2 linked regions of the Nothobranchius furzeri genome follow. The protein of the gene in region 1 interacts with the protein of each later gene in a biochemical or structural test. Links are inferred from orthologs where the notes say so. Each region holds a gene or a part of one and is shown on either strand. Other genes may lie near its edges.

What was found. The genes of interacting proteins can lie anywhere in the genome.
Region 2: the proteins of ocrl (region 1) and rab31 form a complex in vitro, tested with the Homo sapiens proteins (2 studies listed by BioGRID and IntAct, with this or other methods). The link is inferred for Nothobranchius furzeri from reciprocal best matches to the Homo sapiens genes OCRL and RAB31.

Annotation. Positions count from the first base shown.
Region 1 is NC_091741.1:85,246,743-85,252,858, reverse strand, and holds the start of ocrl (inositol polyphosphate 5-phosphatase OCRL), read right to left. Parts: upstream 3,393-6,116; 5' UTR 3,216-3,392; coding exon 3,175-3,215; intron 2,342-3,174; coding exon 2,261-2,341; intron 442-2,260; coding exon 350-441; intron 8-349; coding exon 1-7. Other genes in the region: si:ch73-335m24.2 (protein eva-1 homolog C), read right to left, coding at 4,213-4,616, 5,516-5,596, 5,673-5,744, 5,828-5,971, 6,106-6,116. UniProt on the Homo sapiens protein: Catalyzes the hydrolysis of the 5-position phosphate of phosphatidylinositol 4,5-bisphosphate (PtdIns(4,5)P2) and phosphatidylinositol-3,4,5-bisphosphate (PtdIns(3,4,5)P3), with the greatest catalytic activity towards PtdIns(4,5)P2.
Region 2 is NC_091751.1:42,854,414-42,860,062, forward strand, and holds the end of rab31 (ras-related protein Rab-31), read left to right. Parts: intron 1-2,484; coding exon 2,485-2,556; intron 2,557-2,850; coding exon 2,851-2,957; intron 2,958-3,100; coding exon 3,101-3,210; intron 3,211-3,741; coding exon 3,742-3,839; 3' UTR 3,840-4,579; downstream 4,580-5,649. UniProt on the Homo sapiens protein: The small GTPases Rab are key regulators of intracellular membrane trafficking, from the formation of transport vesicles to their fusion with membranes.

The DNA of each region.
Region 1 (6,116 bases):
TCAGCCTCTGAGGGAAACAGAATAAAAATTTAAATAGTGCAGTTCAAAGGTCTGGAGTGGGAGTGGCCCACTGGTGTTATAAATTATCTCAAGAAGCACTACCTGTTCTGTGTTTACTTTCATATGCAAAGGAAAAGCAGAAGCTTCTAACACACAGCGAGAATGTAACGTCCACTGGTTTAAAATGTAAGGCTATGCATGTCTACTATACTTCTAATCCCAGATTATTTTACTTATTCTGGTTTAAATTAGAGTCAGCATCTAACATTTTTTGAACATTTATTTACACCCAACATACACAGGAAAAGCTGTAAGTATTTTGACTCCGACATGGAGAAAAGCCACATACCTCGTACAATTTCAAATTTATCATTAATGGGTATGGACAACTGAGCCACCGGACGGGACACAACAGCTTCAGGGTTGGCCAGAACACCCAGTCTGTGTAGAAACAGCAAGCATTCTGCCTTATCACAACTGTTGTTTATTTTAATATCAAGATTTTCCATCTTAAACATAAAGCACATATATAAAAAACATTGCTGCTAGCACTGACGTTCATGCAGGGTGCTTAACATTAGAACAGAGAAGATGGAGTCAAGATGTGCTTTAATTATCATGAACAATAGAAATTGAAAAAACACACATGCAAAACCTCTCTTTAGTGGCACACAACAAAAACAATAACTAGCAAGCACTGTGCATCATTCAGTTAATCAATACAAATCCACTGAGCATATAAAGAAGATTAAAGTGTTAAATTATCAAACTGTTGACACAAACGGCTTCAGAAGCATGATGTAGGTTTATGTAGGCAGGGTCACATTCCTGTGCTCACTAACATCTGACTAACAGCAGAGGACAAAGAGTCTTCCTGGGCACTCACTGCCCACTCTTCCCCTTCACTTGGTCTGATTATAGTGGAGAGGACAATTATTCAGGACTGCTGGGCAAAATGTGTCAGAAGCAGTTTCCCGAATCTGTCAGGATGAGAACTTCCGATGTAAACGCAACAGAATATTCAACAGGAAACAAAATGGTTTTTTTTATTCTCCATTTGTACATTTTAGAGCCTGACGTGACAAACCCTCCAGTTTTGTCTGTTTTATCCAGATTATTGTGTCAATAATCCCATAATTTGTGTACCACAAACTGGTACTGATTGTATCCCAAGCCAATGTACAGAAGTGCATAAAAGCAAATACCACAGAAAAACACACCGAAGGCACAGAACACTGGTATGAACCTCAGGTAATGCCTTATGTCATGCAAAATCTTTCAATCATTTAAAATAAATCATGTCTATTTTGAAACATTCATAATGGTTTTTTCCCTCTTCATGACATTACTCTTTGGTGGCTTGTGTGGGCTTGCAGCCTGCAGCCTGCGTGCCCATGTGAGTCTCATTACAGCTAAAGATGAAGTGAAGGAATTCTGGATAATCTGCAGTGAGGTTACTGCTGGTGAAAGTAACTCCAAGCTACACATATGATTAAACATCTCCCTACTGTCTACACACAAAGTCTCCTTTCACCAAATAAGCCCTGGAGCTGTCCAGCTCACAGAAACCACGTTCTGCCCACATGGCATCCAGTTATTTTACACCTAAGAGCTAATCTGTGTAGTGACAAGAGTGGTGTGTGTGTGTGTGTGTGTGTGTGTGTGTGTGTGTGTGTGTATGTGTGTGTGTGTGTGTGTGTGTGTAAAGGGGCATGCTCATTCAGTTAAACATCCTGGATTTAAAATAGCCACCAGCCTGAGATAACTCAAAAAGACAAATAAATCTGACATTCAGGATAGAAAACACAGACCGATGTTGGTTATCCCGGTCAACATCAAAATAACTTGAATTTTCATTTGCACATTTTAAGATTCCATCAGTGTGACAGCAGTCTAGTGCAAAGTGTGTTTAAGAACTTCATAAAACACAAGATAACAGCTCGATTGAATGTTAAGAGCTCTATTTTTGATTATGGAACAGGAAAGTAACTTGTTAAAGGTTAACTGATGAAGCAGCTCCTGTATACCCATATAATTCTGCTCAGGTCACACACTTCAGGTCAACTGCAGCTTCCTCTGACAAAGACAGCTCTCAACAACTTGGGTTTCATTTGAATGAAGTCAAAACTAAACAGGAGCAATAATAAAACAAAACACCTTACTGTGTTATTAAGCGATTCAGCAACAAACACACAGCTTTGGGACATTGGGACAACCCAATGTCAACATACTTTCAGTAATTGTTATTTCTGATACTTACTTAAACTCTCCATTGTGTTCAATTAGTGACAGTAACCTGGACTCCTTCTGGCCAGACCTCAGCTCCTGAGCTTTTACAGTTTGAGCAGCACAATCAAGGAATCATTGAGATGGATGATGAGATATCACAACTACAGCTGTTACCCAGTACTACCGGAACAGTGTTCGAAAATCATTATGAATAAGTCTGTCTTCAGTTGAAGAAAGATGTTAATGAAGCCATGCAAACTGAAAATCAGGAAGGAAATTAATGACAAGCATTAACAACGTGAAATAAGAGAGAAAGAATAGTGCCAGTGGCAGCAAAAATCTAACAGGGGCAAATATTAAACCAGGTTGTTTTATACAAACAACATTTGAAACCTGAGCCTGGAGGCTTTTTCATAACCAGGGTAAAAGGAGAAACCTGGGCCAGATCAATCCACAAAAAAACGGAGACTTAGATCACTAGATCCACAGACGTGAAAGGAAGAATTCAGGGTTTGACCGAGCCCATCAGTACAGTAGAGGAGCGGCAAAGAACAAAAATATATGTATCTAAGCAATTTTAGCAATACAAGCTACACATATCCTCCGTGTTTAGCAGTTCTTAGTGTTAGCTGTTACTGTGACTTCAACCACTGGATAATCGCAAATAGAATGTGATGCTACATAATCATAATACATAACAAGAAAGGTAAATAAAACTGGGTGAAATTATCCAGTATTAACTAAATGTGTCGCCACAATAAATGATGTGTCACTGCTTTTGTGGAAAAGAAAATTCTTTCTTAAATCAGCCCGAATAATAACATTAAGTAGCTATCTCACAACGGTTTAGTGAATTAGCCCTCTGATCAACTGTATTTACATGGCTAGCTGTTCATAACTCATTCGCTAACTCGTATACAATTCAAACACAACTTTAAGGATATTGCCAAGCATTCTTCGTTGCAAATCCCCAGCGTGGACTCCATTCTTACCAAGATAAATAAATACGTATCACTTTTAGGGTCTTTACGTTGAGCAGATGTTGAGGCAAAAAAAAAGTTAAATCTCCACCCGGCGCTGTGGCGGCCTCCTTCCGGGAAGCTGGCTAACCGCTCCTTTAGCCAGCTGTTGTTATTGTTGCCGCTGGAAGGTCTCACAAACGTTTAATGGAATTTAGGAGTTAAAACAACCCCTGATAACTTCCATCATTCTGTCAGAAACATGAGAATGTTCAGTTTCTCTCGTGTCCCTCTCGGTGTCAAGAGACAAACCCCTCGGACAACATAACGTTATCGGGTGGTTTGTAGCACACAGATATGCTACACTTCGAAGACTCCCAGGGTTTGCTCCCTAGCTAGCTACCCAGACTAGTCGTTCTTCGCCTTCATCAGACTTCAATTTTAGTGCACTCCTTCGCATGAAGGTACTTAGCGCTCCCCAGTGTTCTGGAGGATGAACAGACACCCGGCGACTTCATGCCGCAAAAACAAATGCTTCAAACTAATAGCAAATTATTTATATTTTCTGCTTAAAAATCTAAATTACGTTGTCCAAGACAGACACAAATATTTAAAAAACAATATTTGATTTTTTTCTTGCATATTAAACAGATTCAGTTGAGAGTATTAAAAAAACTTTTCAGTCAGTTTCCTTGGAAACGTTTTATTATTGTGGAGTTGTTTGAGACTAACACCAGAATGAACAGTTATGAAACAGAATATTTTAAAGAAAAGTCAATCAAATGGATAGAGTTCATCTGAGCCTTGTCCATTCCTTTACACAAAGAAAGTCTAAATCAGAGAAGATAAATGTCATTGTGGATAAAACCATACTTGTTCAAATCAAATCTGAACAAATAGTAGTTTGAATAGAGCACAATGACTCCTTGTTATTGTGTGTTTTACATTATGAACATAGTTAATTCAGAGAGGTGTAAGTTAGGTGACATTCAATCAAATATCTCTCTGTGTGTATTCTGCTCTTTTAAATCACCGGATATGGCTTCACACAACTGTTATAGGTTTTTATTTTGTGAATTGCATAAGGACTAGAGTCCAGGTGTGGCCAGATGTCTCCAATGGGCAAATCCCTCGTCTGCTGCACATCAACCATCTCCATTGTTAGAGCTGACGGGCTGAGAACATCTGTTGTACGGTAAGACTGTGTGAGGCGACAGAAGGAGGAGGTGTCTGAGACTTCTTCATCGAAGAGGTTGTCTATGAGCTCCTTCCTCTTTCTGCGTGATGCTTTTATCTGATCATTCAGGTCAGAAACCAGATCCTTAACATCTCTCACTATGGTGGAGCGAATTCCAAACAGGCAGAGTAGGAACACCAGTCCAGCACAGATGCCAGAAACGAAGTACAGAGCTACTCGCTCCGGGAAAACTGAAGGAGAGACGAATGTGGTTATCATTGGTCAAACAACATTTGTACTGCTTCATCCTGTACAATATGCAAATGCTTTAAAGGGGTCTTGACAGTTTTTGAAGTTATAATAGTCCTATGGTCTACGCAAAGTGTTTATGAAGTTCTTTGCTCTAAATCCCCATCCCATAAATCAATCTCAACAAATTTGTTCTTGCCAGTTTCAGTACCTTCCAGAATGAGCAGTCTCAGGGCTCTGTCTCTTTCAAGCAGCACTGGTTAGTTTACAGAGAATGCTGCAGAGCACACCATGTGGCCATTCGAGGAACTGCAGTCCGCAAAATGTGCACTTCCATTATGTACAAACCTATTTTTTATTGTTTACTTAATTATTTACCTATTTATTTTAATATTATTTACCACCACCACCCATTGTGAGGTGGGGGGAATCACATGCTGATGGTCTTACTCTGTCGCCGACAAACAGGAATCGACAGCTCAGTTAACACAAAACAAATTACATTAAAGGCTGCCCGCTCCAATTTCAGAACACATTTTGTGTAATTATGTCAAAATAAACCAATTTACCAGGTTACAAAGGCATACAAGTCATTAGATGGGGGGGGGGGGGGGGGGGGGTCTTGAACAGTTGATGTCATGCATTTAGGGGCCTATAGAGGCAGTAGATACCCACAAAAGGATGCAAAAACTGAGTTTTGCATAATATGCATCCATAGACTTTTTAGTATTGTCCTAAACCAATTGTCCACTAAATATTTCACTGTGGAATTTATTTTTATTTATTAATTTTCAGAGTGTACAAAAATGGAATCAACAGTTCACAAAGGGTTTCCTTGAAATGCAAGAGTAACATGTGTTCCTATGTATCCAGCCTGATCTGCAGGCACTACTGCACATACCCCACATTTTTTCAAAGATCTCCAGAGAGTTGGTTACAAACACATTTTGAGTCTTATAGGTGGGGCCAGTGTACCATCCTCCTGCAGGAGAGAGGGGTCTGGGCTCAGTCAGCCTGTCCAGCGCAACTAAACCTGTCAAAGTCAGTGTCAGTCTCACCGTGTGTGTAGTCTGAGATCATGAAAGGATCTGTTGAGCCTCGGCCCACATCTTCTAGAAGAAACCTGGGAACTGAGAGGAAATGAAAGATTTTTAAATCAACAGAAAGCCACATTGCTTCAGCTGAAAACAAACACATGTATTCTGTTATTTACCACAAGTAAAGGACACTCGCAGGTGTTTCCTGGTACCGGGAAAGCAAGGGTCCCCAAAGGTTTGGGTGTCAGCTAGAACTGAGCAGTTAGCTCTGCCGTGACACCTGCGTGACACCCTCCTCAGAGCTACAGCTGACAAACACTCTGAAACATAAAACAACCTAATAAACACAAAACAAATCAGTGCAGTGATGCGTATAATTTCCTAATAAACAAGCTTATATTGAAATAACTGACAGCAACTGTTTCCATTTAGCTAATAAAAGTCTGTTTCAGACCCATATCATTT
Region 2 (5,649 bases), on another chromosome or scaffold:
AGAGCCACTCAACACTCAGTGTTATTGTTAACTGAGTTTGAAGATGAGGAGATGCATCAAATACATCAAGTCTTATCTGAGAGTTTGGATACGTTTTGATTGCTGCTCACTTAAATTTCTTCTTTGGTTTTTAACAAGTAGCGAAAAAGTAAAGTTGCAGAAAACACTTAAGAAAAGTTCTCCCTAGATCCATGTTTCTGGGGCTGTGGCTGTTGGTGTGCTCTTAACATTCTAATATTGAGTTTTAGGACTTTTCTTCATGCATTTTCTATCATTTTTGGTTTTATGCAACAAAAATATCCAAAATAATTAGATAAAGTTGCAATGTGTTTGCTTTTATGTACGTTATTACACTCAAAAGAAGAGAATATTCTAGATGTCTTGGAGATTCATTAGATGGATGGTTTAGTGCTCTGTTGGGGATGGTTGGGGGGGTAGGGTGGATAAATGGGGAGTTACCTAAGACTTGCAAAATTTGCTTACTGCATGGAAAAACTAGTTCAAGCATTTCCTGGATGTGTGTGAAAACAATATCTGGAGACCTCTGTCTTTAGGTCTTACTGAGGTCTAAGACAGAAATGTTGAGTTTTAGTTTTAATAATGGTGTTGACTAGAGTTGTTATGGCGATGTAGTGTGAGATTTCACCCAAGAGCTTATGTTTGTTTTGCATACGTGGATGTCAATGAAGGGAAAAGATGATGGATGTTTGTGCAGAAACTGTTTTACTGGAACTCTTCCTCATATTAAAACAAATGGTAATAAACCCAAAACTTGTGCAGAAATAAAATGACTTGTGAAATTGGCTACAAACATCACATTTTCGCCCCGTCTGCAGCGTTTACTGCTAAGAGGAGGGGCACACACTGAACAAGTCACCAGTCCGTTACAGCGACACGGGACAATCAACTAGTCCTCTAGATACGGCTGGGCAATAAATCAAAAATGTATTCATCCACCCATCCATCTTCTGAACCCGCTTTGTCCACGCAGGGTCGCACGCGGGGGTGGGGGTGGGGGGGCTGGTGCCTATCTCCAGCAGTCAACGGGCAAGTAGGCGGGGTACACCCTGGACAGAGAGCCAGTCTATCGCAGGACAACACAGACACACAGAGACAAACAACCATGCACACACACTCGCACCTAAGTACAATTTAGACCAATTAACCTAACAGTCATTTTTTTGGACTGTGGGAGGAAGCCGGAGCACCTGGAGAGAACCCACGCATGCACAGGGAGAACATGCAAACTCCATGCGGAAAGATCCCAGGCCGGGAATCGAACCCAGGACATTCTTACTGCAAGGCAACAGCTCTAACCACTGCGTCACTGCGCAGCCTTCAAAAATGTATCATTATCGAAATTTCTGACTCTTATCGTGATAATTTTTCCCATGTCAATAAATTAGATGATAAGAAAAATGAAAAGATGTGTGTAGGTTTGCAGCATTCATGTACCTTTTAAGAAGCTGTACCACCTTTAGTCACGTAAAAATGTGACTCAACTTAATACATGTGACAGCGCCATCTAGTGGACAACTTTTATTTCTGCGCACACCTGTAGTTATCGTCCATTTATCGAGGTGAAATCCTTAATATATTGTGATACTGATTTTAGGCCACATCACCTAGCCTTACATCTAGAGACTATTTAGAGTGAACAGTTAACCTAACATGCAGGTTTTTGTTCTGTGAGAGGAGTGCTGTGATTGGCTGGTGCTGCCGAGGTTCCAGTGGAGTGTTGCTAGACCGTCATTCAAAGCAAAATTATTTTTGCTTTGAATGACGGTCTAGATTCTAGGCTAGGTGGTTTTAAAATAAGGAACTCATTTTAAGTTGACTGCCATATCACTTCACCTGAAGAGATGGTTTTATCCTTCAGGTAGCCCTTCCCTGCAACAACAATCCACCAATTGCTGAGATAAATACTCTCGTTACATACTTAGGTATTGTGCATGTGCAAAAATATTTGCACAAACCTCTGAACACTAGGCCTCATGGTGGCACGGTAGGTAGCTCTGTTGCCTCACAGCGAGAAGGGCACAGGTGCAAACATCAGCTGCTGCCTTTCTGCGTGGAGTTCTCCTGTGTGGGACTTTGTCCAGGTGTGTGAATGGCTGCGTGTCTTTACGTGTCCCTGTGATGGACTGGGGACCTGTCCAGGGTGTCCGCCTCTCAGGTTGCTGGAATTAGAGACCAGCTTCCTGCAACCCTACTGGGGAGAAGAGCTTGTATTAAAATTTTACTCTGCGTTTTGCATATTTTCACCTGTATTTGCTTCCCTCAGTCATCCTAAGTTATTGTTTTTGTTTAGTCTACTTTGATGTTTGTTTGGTCTTCATTCTAATCGTTTATCTTATTTTTTATGCCCTGGCTTGGCTTGAGTTGCAGAAATCAGAATATGATATTGTCTCAATTGACAACAAGTCTTCAATATATGATAAATGTGTTTTTACTAACTACCGTAAATTATTGTTCCTGTTTTAGTTTCACTCATTAGCTCCTATGTACTACAGAGGATCAGCTGCTGCTGTCATCGTCTATGACATAACCAAACTGGTGAGTTTAACATCTCTTAATTAAATTATGCTAATTAGCGGTTGTATGATCAGGCGTCTGCATCCTCGAAACCAGATGAACAAGTGAATAAATGGTTTGGAGCTGAAGCTGAAGGTCGTTTTCCTCCACTCTGAGATGCTGTGTGCATCCATGACCTACAAATGTCATTCTTTCCTACTCGGCTAATGGAAACTTGTTTAAAAACACCAGTGCTGTGTGATGAGTTAATAAAAATGCTGGGCATGTTCTCAAAAGAAATGCCAGAGCCGACCACGCTGTGTTCCTGTCATTCAGGACTCTTTCCAGACACTGAAGAAGTGGGTTAAGGAGCTGAAGGAGCACGGCCCAGAGGACATCGTTGTAGCTATCGCAGGGAACAAGAATGATTTAGGAGACATCAGGTGGGAGGAGCTGTTTAGTTCTACCTGTCTGGAGATCATTTGTGTCACCTGTAGCTTTTAACAGTCCACTCTTGAGTCAGTTGGATTCATGCAGGTTGGAACATTTTCTTCACATGCCGCTTGGCTCTTCTTCTGTTTTACAGGGAAGTTCCTATGAAGGAAGCAAAGGAGTTTGCAGAATCAATCGCAGCTATTTTTATTGAGACCAGCGCCAGAAATGCCGTCAACGTCGAGGAGCTGTTCCAGAGAATCAGTAGGGTTTTTCATGCTGTTGCTGCTTTCTCTCCTCGGTTTATGGAAGTATATTCCAGGTGTCCTCAAACAAAAGCTCATCTCATCACTCAACGCAGACGATCATTTATAAGCATTACATTCATCCAGTTATTTATAGACTTTCTGTTTTTCTTGATGACTTGGGTGTGTTTCCTGATTTCCGGGCATATCGTTCTCAGATTTTTGAATTTCAGACTCTAATCTGCTCGCATGTTTTCCTTTTAAAAAGAATCTTCTCATTTTGTTTTGTTTTCACACCAAATTACTGACTGGAAACAAGTTAAACTGATTATTGCAACATCTGAAGTCCACTGCCAGTCTAGGAAGCTGTTTTTTCCAGACTGTTGTTTTTACATCCTTTGGTTGCTTGTAGATCTCATAAGATTTCAGCTGAGTTTTGAGGTATAGAAACTAAATTGCACAGGAAAAGCAGCAGTGCATATGTTAGCAAGTTTTATATTATGTCATTAAAAAAAACACTCAAATTAAACAATTTGTTCTGCAATTTTAGGTAAACAGATTCCGCCTCTGGAAAATCCTGATGTGGAAAGCAATGATTCCTTTAAAATCACCCGGCAGCCTGCCTCCACGGCCAGGAGGTGCTGTTAGTACCAGAAGTTATGGATAGTCAACTTACATCATCACGCAGGCGGAGCACATAGTCCACGATGCACACAGAGTCTTCAGAGTGACAACACGTGGATGGTCTGAGGTCAAAAACAGGATGAAACAACCTCTGCTCCAGCGCCATGGAGGTCAAAGCAACAGTTCCTGCAAGCACGTTTCCCTGTGACTTAAAACCTTCAGTCTGTCTCCCTCCAGTGGCGCTCTGACTGAATTACATGCAGTTGTCCATCTGAGAACATCTCCAAAATATAAAACATGCAGCTTTGTTCCATTTGTGAAACAAAGGGCAAATTATTAGCGTGAACACTGCATTTTTAGTGGTTTGGATTAATAAATCAGGTTTGGAGGTTTGTGCAATTCCATTTAGGCCTCTGGAGTCACCAGCTATTCAGAGATGAGCTCTGTCATTTAAAGTCATAGTTCAGTACTAATATTCAACATTTCCACGATCCTTGGATCGTCGGCGCAGAATGTTTTAAAGTAAGATGTAAAAACCTTAGGTGTGCGTTTCACGTGCACTCGTTTATTTCCGTTGTTTAGCTGCGGAACAAACTGTTAAAACGCTGAAATCTTAATCACATCATGACATCTAACTGCTGCAACGGCGTGACCAGTGTTAGTTGTTTACATAATGGTTTGATAAACATGTTTTCTGTTTGTTTGAGAATTGGCTACAGCAAACAGCAGCTAAACTTGGAGTTTGCTTGTATTTACTGTTTAAAGAGCAGACAGTAATTTACAGCAAATAAGTCCAGTTCGATGAGATAGTTTTTGTACTACCTGAACTCTGTGTTAATAGGACCCTAAACTTTGGATCATGTATACAAACAAAAAATATGTACTTTAAAAAAAATGTTAAACACTTTTTTTCTATCTGAATGTGCTGCAAAGTCAAACAACTTATTTTTTTTATCAATTTGTGGGATGTAATAATGAAATCTCTTATTTATAGTAAAATACTTTATAAACGCCCATCTATGCTGATGTTAGTGTGGACAGTTTACACCAAAATCCATTCATTAATTAGCCAAACTGTGTTTCTTCACTTGGAAAACGTTCAACACAAACCTCTGGAAGCGAGATTGGCAGTGACCTTTCGCTCGTGGTTTTCTAGACTCATCAGATTTTATTCTGAGTAAATGTCAGACTTGTGACTACGGTGTTTCCCCGATGTCTAACAGTTATTCCCCTAAAGCGATACGTGAAAGTCACCTAAAAGCTGAATGTTACACTTATGGACATGCTCCTTTGTTAAAATGCTGTTTAGATTCACACATGTGTCTTTTTTATTGTTTCTTAAAAATGTATGACATGGCTAAAAGTGAATATCAGCTTTTGGTGCAGTCTGACGGTACCCATATCTTTAAAAGTGCCTATAGTTTCCATTTAACCTCATTTGTATGCAAGTATTTGTTCTCATGTATTCTGTGTAGAAGTCACTGACATTGTAATAAAATTATAATCGTACTCTTTCTTCTAGTTTTCATCATGCCTTTATTTTTGAAGGACATAAATTAGAGGCATGTCTAAAAAGATTACAATCCTATCTAATTGATAAAGCAATATGCCAAAGATAAAATGACGGTGCATCAGCAGCCAGTACAAATTTTATTAATGAAATAAAACCCCTTTTCTAACTATCACGTAGATCTTTAAAACTACGATAATCAGGTGACATAACAAATTAATGGAAATTTCAACTCATTTGGATTAAATTGTAGCCAAATTCAAATATATCAGCAATATTAAAGCGTCGAGGAAATCATAGTTTATCATTTTGAATTGAAAAATG